Arabidopsis thaliana: one gene and its partner. The protein of the gene in region 1 interacts with the protein of each later gene in a biochemical or structural test. Each region holds a gene or a part of one and is shown on either strand. Other genes may lie near its edges.

The links. Proteins that work in one complex are often made in the same cells at the same time.
Region 2: the proteins of AN3 (region 1) and GRF1 form a complex in vitro, tested with the Arabidopsis thaliana proteins (one study listed by BioGRID).

What each region holds. Positions count from the first base shown.
Region 1 is NC_003076.8:10,646,956-10,652,095, forward strand, and holds AN3 (SSXT family protein), read right to left. Parts: upstream 3,108-5,140; 5' UTR 2,666-3,107; coding exon 2,585-2,665; exon of another isoform or gene 2,433-2,584; intron 2,421-2,432; exon of another isoform or gene 1,587-2,420; coding exon 1,510-1,586; intron 1,431-1,509; coding exon 1,346-1,430; intron 1,266-1,345; coding exon 876-1,265; 3' UTR 512-875; downstream 1-511. UniProt on the Arabidopsis thaliana protein: Transcription coactivator that plays a role in the regulation of cell expansion in leaf and cotyledons tissues.
Region 2 is NC_003075.7:5,773,445-5,777,991, reverse strand, and holds GRF1 (general regulatory factor 1), read right to left. Parts: upstream 2,783-4,547; 5' UTR 2,606-2,782; coding exon 2,114-2,605; intron 2,037-2,113; coding exon 1,914-2,036; intron 1,823-1,913; coding exon 1,706-1,822; exon of another isoform or gene 1,621-1,705; coding exon 1,554-1,620; exon of another isoform or gene 1,348-1,553; intron 1,203-1,347; exon of another isoform or gene 993-1,202; coding exon 835-992; 3' UTR 511-834; downstream 1-510. Other genes in the region: TL29 (ascorbate peroxidase 4), read left to right, coding at 1-81, 160-294, 380-490. UniProt on the Arabidopsis thaliana protein: Is associated with a DNA binding complex that binds to the G box, a well-characterized cis-acting DNA regulatory element found in plant genes. Involved in the regulation of nutrient metabolism.

The DNA.
Region 1 (5,140 bases):
AGCAGGCATGAAGCCAACATGTCAAATACATACTTGGGGCCTATGGTGGTGCGGTCTAAACATTTAACTAGTGTTTGTGACATATTGTTTCAAGGCTTATAGTTTTGCCAAAGGGAAGGAAGTAATAGAATAACTGAAGACTTCTCTTGGCTTGTGATTGAGTTGTAAAAAGCAGGGGCTGGGCTTGGCCTCCTAGGGGAATCCAGACACTAGAAAAACAATCGTCGATGGAACTCTCAACTAAGGGAAATCCACACTCAATACTACTTGAAGAATCTAGGACGAAGCAAAGGGACCAAAAGACACATTTTTGAAACCCTCTTTTCTTCACGAGACTTTATCTTAAATGGACCCGAATATGGTCTTTGGTTTGAGTGCAGCTTCGGGTGGCTATGGTCCGGTCTTCAGCAGTATGGGACCTTGCGAGGACCACTAAGGCTGGTCATATGAGTCTTGGACTGAACCGGTTGGACTTTATCAACTATAAAATAAAATTATGTATAACAGCCAGAAAAAAAAAACAATAATATAGCCTACATAACGATTTAGAATCCAAATAGGTAACATCAATGATCTACAAAACTTCAGTCCTGGTTAAAGCAAAAGAGTCTAACTCAGAGAAATAACATATTAAGATTACGACACAACTTGGAGCCAGCAGATTTACATGGTACACTACCACGAAAGAGGTTCACTGTTTTAGGGAACAAACATAGAGAGAATAACAAAACTAAAAAGAAGTAAATAAAGAGTTCTTTGCTTCTTCAACAAGCAACTAAAACCAAAACACACTAACTTCAAGACTCCTATTATTACTACTACTTCTTCTGCTGCTGCTGCTGCTTCATCATTAAGATTCCTTGTGCCACACTCTTTCAATTCCCATCATCTGATGATTTCAAGTAAAGGGTTTCTCCACCATCCCCTGAACTTCCTCCTCTGCCTTCACCGCCACCACCACTTCCCATTTCCGGCTTCCCACGGCCAAAATCATGAAACCCACCAGCCTCTCCCTGAAGGATATGGAGACCACTGCTTCCTCCTCCTCCGCTGCTCGAGCTCATTCCAAGCTGGCTATGGTGCAATTGCTGATGCTGAAGCGTCGCGTAAGGCTGCTGCTGCTGCTGTTGCTGAGCATACAACATTGAAGATCGAGCCGCCATTAGAGACTGCTGAGTCATCTGTTGCTGTTGAGTCGCTTGTTGCTGCTGCAAATAGTGTGACCCTCCTTCTCCCTGAATCATCCCACCACCAGCAGATCCATACTAATAACCAAACAAAACAAATCACTTTCTCAATTGATCATACAACAAAATTTGGAATACTTCACTGTATAAACAATCACCTGGCTATGCACACTTGGTGGCTGAGGCTGAGAATCTGCTATTGCAGCTAGGTACATTAGGTTGCGTTGAAGCCTTGCTTGATTCCTATAACCATTTTAATCATCATTTCTTGTTACTCAACAGAACACAAGTGAAATCATAAAGGAGATATGTTGTCTCTTACTCGGCGCATTCGCTAAGCTTTCCAGAGTTTTGAGACTCAACAATCTTCAGAATCAACGATTTGTTTTCGTCCAAGTACTACAATCAAACATTTTCATTAATCATTACTAATGCTACAAACAAAAAATTTGCATACTATTTTGTTTTTGTTGTAATAAAGACATAGAAAATCTCAAAAGGAGACCCCAGTAACTTAAATTCCGACTTATCTCAAAAGACAATAATGTTGAAATATCACAAAAGTGTAACGAAAGATTTTCTTCGAAAAGATTTTGAGGACCACACAAAAAAAAAACTGAGATAAGGACCAGATGTTGTTTCGGACCACAAAGTATATCTGGTCATGTAAGCAATAAAAGAAACACTTGGACTGGAAAATACACATAGATCTACTTATAATGATAACAAATCTAAACAGGACCACCCACAATATTCACATAAATGGCTTTGTGGTTTTTGCCATCAATGAAACTTCCAGAACCCGAAAACCAAGACAAGAAGAAAAAACGAGATATGTGAAACAAATCTTCAGTTCCCAAGATTTGTCTGTTTTGAACACGTTATTTTTCATTACATGTTTCAAGAACTCAAAACACAACTGGACCCTAAACATTCATTTTCATTGAAAGAAAGAATCTTTCTTAACTTTGTCTGGTTTTAGACATTTAATTAGCATCAAAGTTAACTGATAATACACCAAATCTATAAGGAAAAGAAAAAAAGTTGAAAGAATCATCTTAGTGACCAAAGCATCTCTACCAACCAAATTTATCAAACATAAACACACATGTATTAAAACTAATTTCTCTATGAAAAAAAAAGACATGGAAACAAGAATAACAAGAACTCTTTTACCAAACAAAAAAGAACCAATGAAAAAAAATCATCTATGTTATGAGAACAGAAGAAAAGGGTTTCACATACTTTTTTATATAATATAAAGAAAAAGTTATAAGGTACTTGCAAGAGAGATTTCTTCACTTTCCTTTATGAATTCAAAGAAACATATAATAAAGAAAAAAGAAAGAGATAATATAATAGAAGAAGAAGGAGAAGGAGGAGAAGGAGAAGAGAACCTGTTGGATATGATCAGAGGTAACATTGCTGGGGTAGTAACCAGCCATCATGGGCTGCATCTGCATCAGGTGCTGTTGCATTTCTTTTGCTATTTTATATAAAACCTGATAATTCCTTCTTATTTATTTATATATTTTATATATATAAGTTTTTATAGAGACAACCCCCACCACAAAACCCAGAGGAAAAAGAGAAGTCTCACCAAGTGAGAGAGAGAGATATTAACTTTTGTATCTGTCTCTCTCTCTTTCCTCTATGCTTCTGTATATAGAAAACTCTTAACTATTGAAGATGTGTATCTCTGTGTGTGTGTTATCTCGCTTTCTCTCCTCCACAAAAGTTGTTTTGCGTTAAAAGACTGAGAGAGACAGTGAAGTCTCTTAAATAGAAAGAGAGAGAGAGAAGAGAAGAGAGTGTTTTTCTCTTTTTCTTGGGTTTTGGGGTTTGGTTTTGTTGGTTTCTTTCTGTCTCATCCTATCTCTGTCTCTGCGAAGAAGAGGAGGTCACGTGACGAGTCATACTTTATTATAGAGACGTGAGACCTTTACATATATACTACTACTTATCAATATGTACACATTGTTGATTAAATTATTACTTTGAAGTTTGAACCCTTCGTATATAGAGACGTAACTATATACCAAATAATACTGTTTACTCCTTCGTATGTATATACGGTGTATTTACTTGTATATATATGTAATTATGTATATTAAAATCTCTTACAACTTTTGTATAATATTTTCTACATTTATAGATTCATTTCGGGATTTTATAATAAAGTAATGCAAAGTAGGATTTATTGTTTTCTAGATTGTTTTGGTAATTTATTGTTTTCTAGTTTTCTAGTTTTCTTTTACTATATCAAAGAATATTTTTGTCGTCTTATTTTGTTTTGGTAATTAATATATAAAAAAAAGATGTCTTTAGTTTTTCGAAAAATAAGATTCATGTATTTACATTTTAATATAAAAAAATGTTCTACATAGGAGTTTTTAACCTAGTGGATTGAATTTGTATTTTTTTAATAATTTATTATATTTAGTTTTACACAACATTTTTTTTACAATGGTTTAATTTTTTATCATGAGAGGTCACATCTAGATGCGATTCTTCACATTTAAAATAAAATGGATTAATGAAAAAATTAGATTAAGAAGTAGCTATGTGAGATAATTTTCTTTGTAGATGTTTGATTGTGTTGATCAAAAGAGTCTCTTCTCTCTTATACCTTAAAATCATATTTATAGGATTTAATCTCAACCAAATTACTGAATTATGTTGTGACTTAGTCTTCTTATGCGGATTAGATTTGGCATAACTAGTTCCCTAGAACATGTTATCAAAACAAGTGTGTTTGGTTTGTTAGCTTAATGATGTTTTTCATTTTGTTTTAAAAGTAGCGCATGACTCGTCTCGTCTCATCACTAACCATCTTTATGTGTTTTGGCAAAATGCCAAAATGTAAACACATTTCTTACGCTTACCAATAGTTATCTTCTTTTTTTTTTTGGTCTTTTTTTTTTATCGAATCACGTAACACATTATAATTGACTGATATCTTAATAGATGAAATTTATCCTCAACAATGATCAATACATGTTTCTTTTTTTTTACATATGTTAATACTAACTCGATCACTTGTCTCGACCAATAAGACGAGTTATCGACCATCAAAACACTGCCCTAACTTGGTTTGAATGTTTAATATTGATGATTCTCAACCAAAGGGTCTCTAAAGTTTTTGAAATGCTTTTGTAAAGAAAATAATAATAATTAGTTTGGAGTTATTTGATAAGTCTCATTAACTTTTTGTTCGAATTCTTGAAGTACGTTTCGATGGTCGGTAATTTAAAAAGAAAAAGATTCAACAGCTATATTATCTTTGCGTGGTTATACTTAATTCCACGTTAAACCCTCTTGTAGATGTGGTTAAATATTAATTAACACTTTATTCGTTGGTACCAAAAATGGATCCGAGATATTCCTTCTGCATATATGAACCACGGAGGCTCAACTTTTAATGTTTGTTTGTTTAACTATAGTATTATGTATGAACATTAAAGTAATCTGTAAGGATAAATGAATTGTTTTCTTTTCCCGATTAATTATGTCTTATAGACAATAACCAAACCAATAGTGTTTCTATGCCATCTAAAAGCAAACCAAAAACACTAGGAACAAAACTAAAAATACCATTTCTTCTTTTTTATCAGACCAATATAGTTGTTTGCATACTGTAAATTGAGATTATGAAGTTAAAGGTAGGATTCTGAAACGCTTACAAATGATCAATTCATTTTGGTTAATACCTAAAAGAAATATTAAATTTTTACGACATTAATTTTATACTACCTTATTTTCTATATAACAGCCATAAATTTTATAGTTAATGTGAGGTTGATGTTGAATCCTCTTACATAGAGAAAAGTGTTGCAGCAACTTGTAACTTATTATTGTACTATCTTTGACCGATTAATATGAATATTCACCAAGATATTGGAGAACTTATAAATAATGAAACTTGCAGTTTTTGAGCTGAGATATTTTGTGGT
Region 2 (4,547 bases), on another chromosome or scaffold:
GGCAGAGTCCCACAATGGGGGAAAGCAACTGTGCAAGAGATGAAAGATAAGTTCATTGCTGTTGGATTGGGTCCTCGTCAGGTACATGATTTTCGGTTTAAACAGAGAATTATCTACTAGGATCACTCGAAGTAACTAACCTGTATGAGGAATTTGTAGCTAGCTGTAATGTCTGCATTCTTGGGTCCTGATCAAGCTGCAACAGAACAGCTCTTAGCTACTGACCCTCAAGTTGCTCCATGGGTTCAGAAGTATCAAAGAAGCCGTGAAACCGTATCTCAGACTGATTACGAGGTTCGTTTTCACTCGATTTGCCTTAATCATATATTCATCTACCTCAAACTCAAGCTCATGTTTTGGTTTATGAATATGTTTGTAGGTTGATCTCATAACTGCATTCACAAAGCTAAGTTGCTTAGGACAGCAAATCAACTTCGAGGCATATACATATCCCGTCGAACGGATCAATCTGAGCAAACTCAAGCTATAAGCTATGTACACTATATGTATAACATGAGAGGAAACTTCGAAATAAACCAAAGATTTTTCTTGACATTGAAACAAAAAGAGAAGTTGAATCCATTACAAACAAAGACACAGAAGATAGGAGTCAAATCACGATAAAATGGAAACAGATAAACGAAAAATAATAGGAATCGAGTTTTCGTATCCACGGTTGAGAAAAGCAGCAAAAAAGGACAAGAATTAGACTGCCTTAGAGAGCTTGGGGATAAAAGGAAATAAGAAACCAACAGAGAAACACCTCCAAGAGAAAAACATATTAATGGAGAGGTTTTAGATACTGAAATGACAACAAAGTTGCGGTAAGACGACTTAGGATTGTTGCTCGTCAGCGGGTTTTGCTGCTGCTGGTGCTGCTTCTTTGATGTCATCAGCAACATCGTCCTGATTGAAAAAAACATTTGACAAGATCATCATAATCAGAATCAGACCACAAGAAAGAAGGATTGAGGAATGTATCAAAATGTAAACTAAGCAACAACTTGATTTCCAAATCTAGTCTCCCTCAATGGCATATATCTTGCTCATGGTTTCAGAAATCACAAACAGGCTTAAGCAAGGCATAAGGAGGAATGCATCAAAATGTAAACTAAACCACTTGATATTCAATTCGTGTCTTCCTCAATGGCTTAACAAGGCTTATGATTTCATAAATTAAGCAACAAAACAGGATTAAACACATTTGACAATCACTAAAATCAGAATATGACCAAGAGAATGCATCAAAATGTAAACTAAACTGTTTGTTTTCCATATCTAGACTTCCGCAATGGCTTAACAAGGCTCATGGTTTCAGAAATCAAGCAACAAAACAGGCTTAAATACATTTGACAATCACTAAAATCAGAATCAGAGCCAGCAGAATGCATCCAAATGTAAACTAAACTGTTTTATTACAAATCAAGTCTTTCTTAATGGTTTAATTATAGGCTAAAAGTTTCAGAGATCAAGAAACAAAAACGTTATTCGTTCATCAAGCAACAAAAACAAGCTTATAAGGCCAAAATATAATACCTAGCAAGATTACTAACACAGTTGACAATCACCAAAATCAGAATTAGACCAGAAGAATGCATCAAATAAACTTGATATCCAAATCTAACTTTTGTCAATGACTTAATTAGGCTCATTGTTTCACAATTCAAGCAACAAAATCAATCATACAGGAGCCAATATATAATACCTGCATATCAGAAGTCCAGAGAGTGAGGTTATCACGAAGAAGCTGCATAATCAAAGTACTGTCCTTGTATGACTCTTCACCAAGAGTATCCAATTCAGCAATTGCTTCATCAAACGCCTAAATAAATCCATAAACAAAAACTCATCAAACACACACATAAACCAACAATACATAATCATATAAAACATCCCTCAGATGAGATCCAAACCTGCTTAGCGAGATTACAAGCACGATCTGGAGAATTGAGAATCTCATAGTAAAACACAGAGAAGTTCAACGCAAGACCAAGACGAATCGGATGCGTTGGAGCCAATTCAGAATTAGCAATATCCTACACAACAAACCAAAATTTCAAAAACCTAAATCACACAAAAATCAAATCACAGATCGGAGAAAGAGATCAAAAACCTGAGCAGCTTTGTAAGCAGTAAGAGTATGTTCAGCAGCATCTTTCCTCTCTTGACCAGATTTGAACTCAGCCAAGTACCTATGATAATCACCTTTCATCTTCAGATAAAACACCTTCGAATCTCCAGAAGCAGCAGCGGGAACGAGAATCGTATCGAGAAGCTTAAGGATTCCGTCACAGATATCAGAAAGTTCCGTTTCGATTTTGCTTCTGTAGTCACGGATCAACGAAACGTGGTCATCGTTACCGCGAGACTCCTCCTTTTGTTCGATCGATGAAATGATTCTCCACGAAGCACGACGAGCTCCGATGACGTTTTTGTAAGCGACGGAGAGGAGATTACGTTCTTCGACGGTGAGTTCGTCTTTGTCAACAGCTTTCGCGACTTTCTCCATGAATTCAACCATTTCTTCGTAACGCTCTGCTTGTTCGGCGAGTTTCGCCATGTATACGAATTCATCTCTTGCTGAGGAAGCTCCTGGTGTCGCCATTGTTGTTTAGATCGGAGAAGAAGATGATGAACAAAGTGAGGAAGAAGAAGAAGAAATGATTCTCAGATCTGAGAGAGTTTTTTTTTTTTTTTATCGGCTCCGTGGATTTTTGTTTTTGTTTATAATGAATGAGTGGGGAGCGATGATTACGGATTGTGAGAAGAAAGGAGAGCCGTTGGATTGAAAGCTGGCAAAAACACGGATTCGTAACGAAAAAAGGCGCTGGCTTTTCAGATACTTTTTAGGTCAAGTTTGAATTTTCAATGATTGGAAAAGGGTATTTCTGGAAATTACTTATTTAATGGGCTTTTTTCCTGCGAAACGGGTTTATTGAATGGGCTTTAAAGCCTATTTTACGGATTAACTCATTTGCGCGTGGGTGAATTAATTATTGAATGGCCCGAATAGGCCCAATAAATATAACGCTTGTATTTTGGTATACTTACTGATTTCATTTTTAATCGGATATCCGATATGAAATATGAAAAATAGAAAATTTAAAACCCAAAGATGGCAATATTTCATTAAGATTTCTTTAGCTGTTAATCTTTAGTATTTAAATATTTAATTTAATGAACGTAATTTCATAAAATTTACAAACAAATACGTCAATCATCGTAAATCTAGTGAGCCGACATCGTTAATTTACAAATATTATTATAAACATTTAATTATCTCTTTTTAAAAAAAAATTAAGAGGACCAACTGTTATAATAAGATATTATTATAAACATCTAATTATTTTTTTTATTTTTTTTATTTAAGAAGACCAACTGTTCTGTTTTGGATACTCATAATTACTATATTTCTAAGGCTATAAGTCCTCATCACTTTAGTAAAAATAAATTTTGTGGATTGGTTTCATCCCCTCTATTAGGAACATGGACAACATCCATTTGCATGTCAAGAAGGCTTTGCATGTCTATGTAAGTAAGTTTTATATTTATTTGAAGATCTCGGTTTTTTTTTTCTTTTTTGTGAGATCATAATTATAATATTCGTGTATTTACTAAAATTTAATTTCTCTATGAAAAAAACTATTTGCTGAAAATAGTATGCACAAAACGTACACACATATCGTTGTTAAACAAGCAAACATGTAGAGTATCGATTAAACGACATATGTATATACACAATTTTCCTGAAGTTAGGATTTTATCAAGATTTCTTTCAAGTTTGATCTTGCAAGGTAGAGAGAAAGCCTCATAATTTGGAGTCACACTAAAGACAATGATAGGTCTTTGAGTCAGAGATAATGGAGTTTTAGGTTGAATAACTAATGCTCTAACCCCTCATATTGGAGTTTCAGCTAGGAACCAAAACATTCAAAAGGAATCAAACACATGGAGAATACACAAACGGTGTTTAGGATGGATATAATAGAGATTACAACCTTATCGAGATTCGCTTTAGGATGCATAAAATAGTAGGAGGCAAGAAGTCAAGAGACTTTCATGGGCATCGATGTAGAAAAAGTTCTCTGCCACAGAGGAAAAACAATTTTAAGGTCCTAGAATCTACATTTCATTAAGGATATATAGTAGAACCGCGAATGTGGTTAAAATTAACCGTTGGAGTGAAGAATTGGATAGGCTTTTGCTTTTCAAACATGAAATCAACAAAGTCCTTTGTAGTTGGGCATATAAGATAGATTCATCTCAGAACTTCCTGGCTCCATCCCAAACAAGATGTTGTAGGACTTATTCCAACGTGTTCGTTGTTTATCATCTAGAAGCGTAAACATGAGAAAAGAGTAAGCATAGATTATAAACAAAATCACAAAGTTTCTAGATTCCACATAACGCTAGGAACTCATCAATAGAGAAGCAGCAACTAAAAAAAAAGCTCACCTTTTAATTTCCATGTTTCTTTCCAAAAACGATCAGTGAAATTACGTATAGCTTTAATTTTTCCCCAAAGCAAGGATTGAATCTTGCGCTAA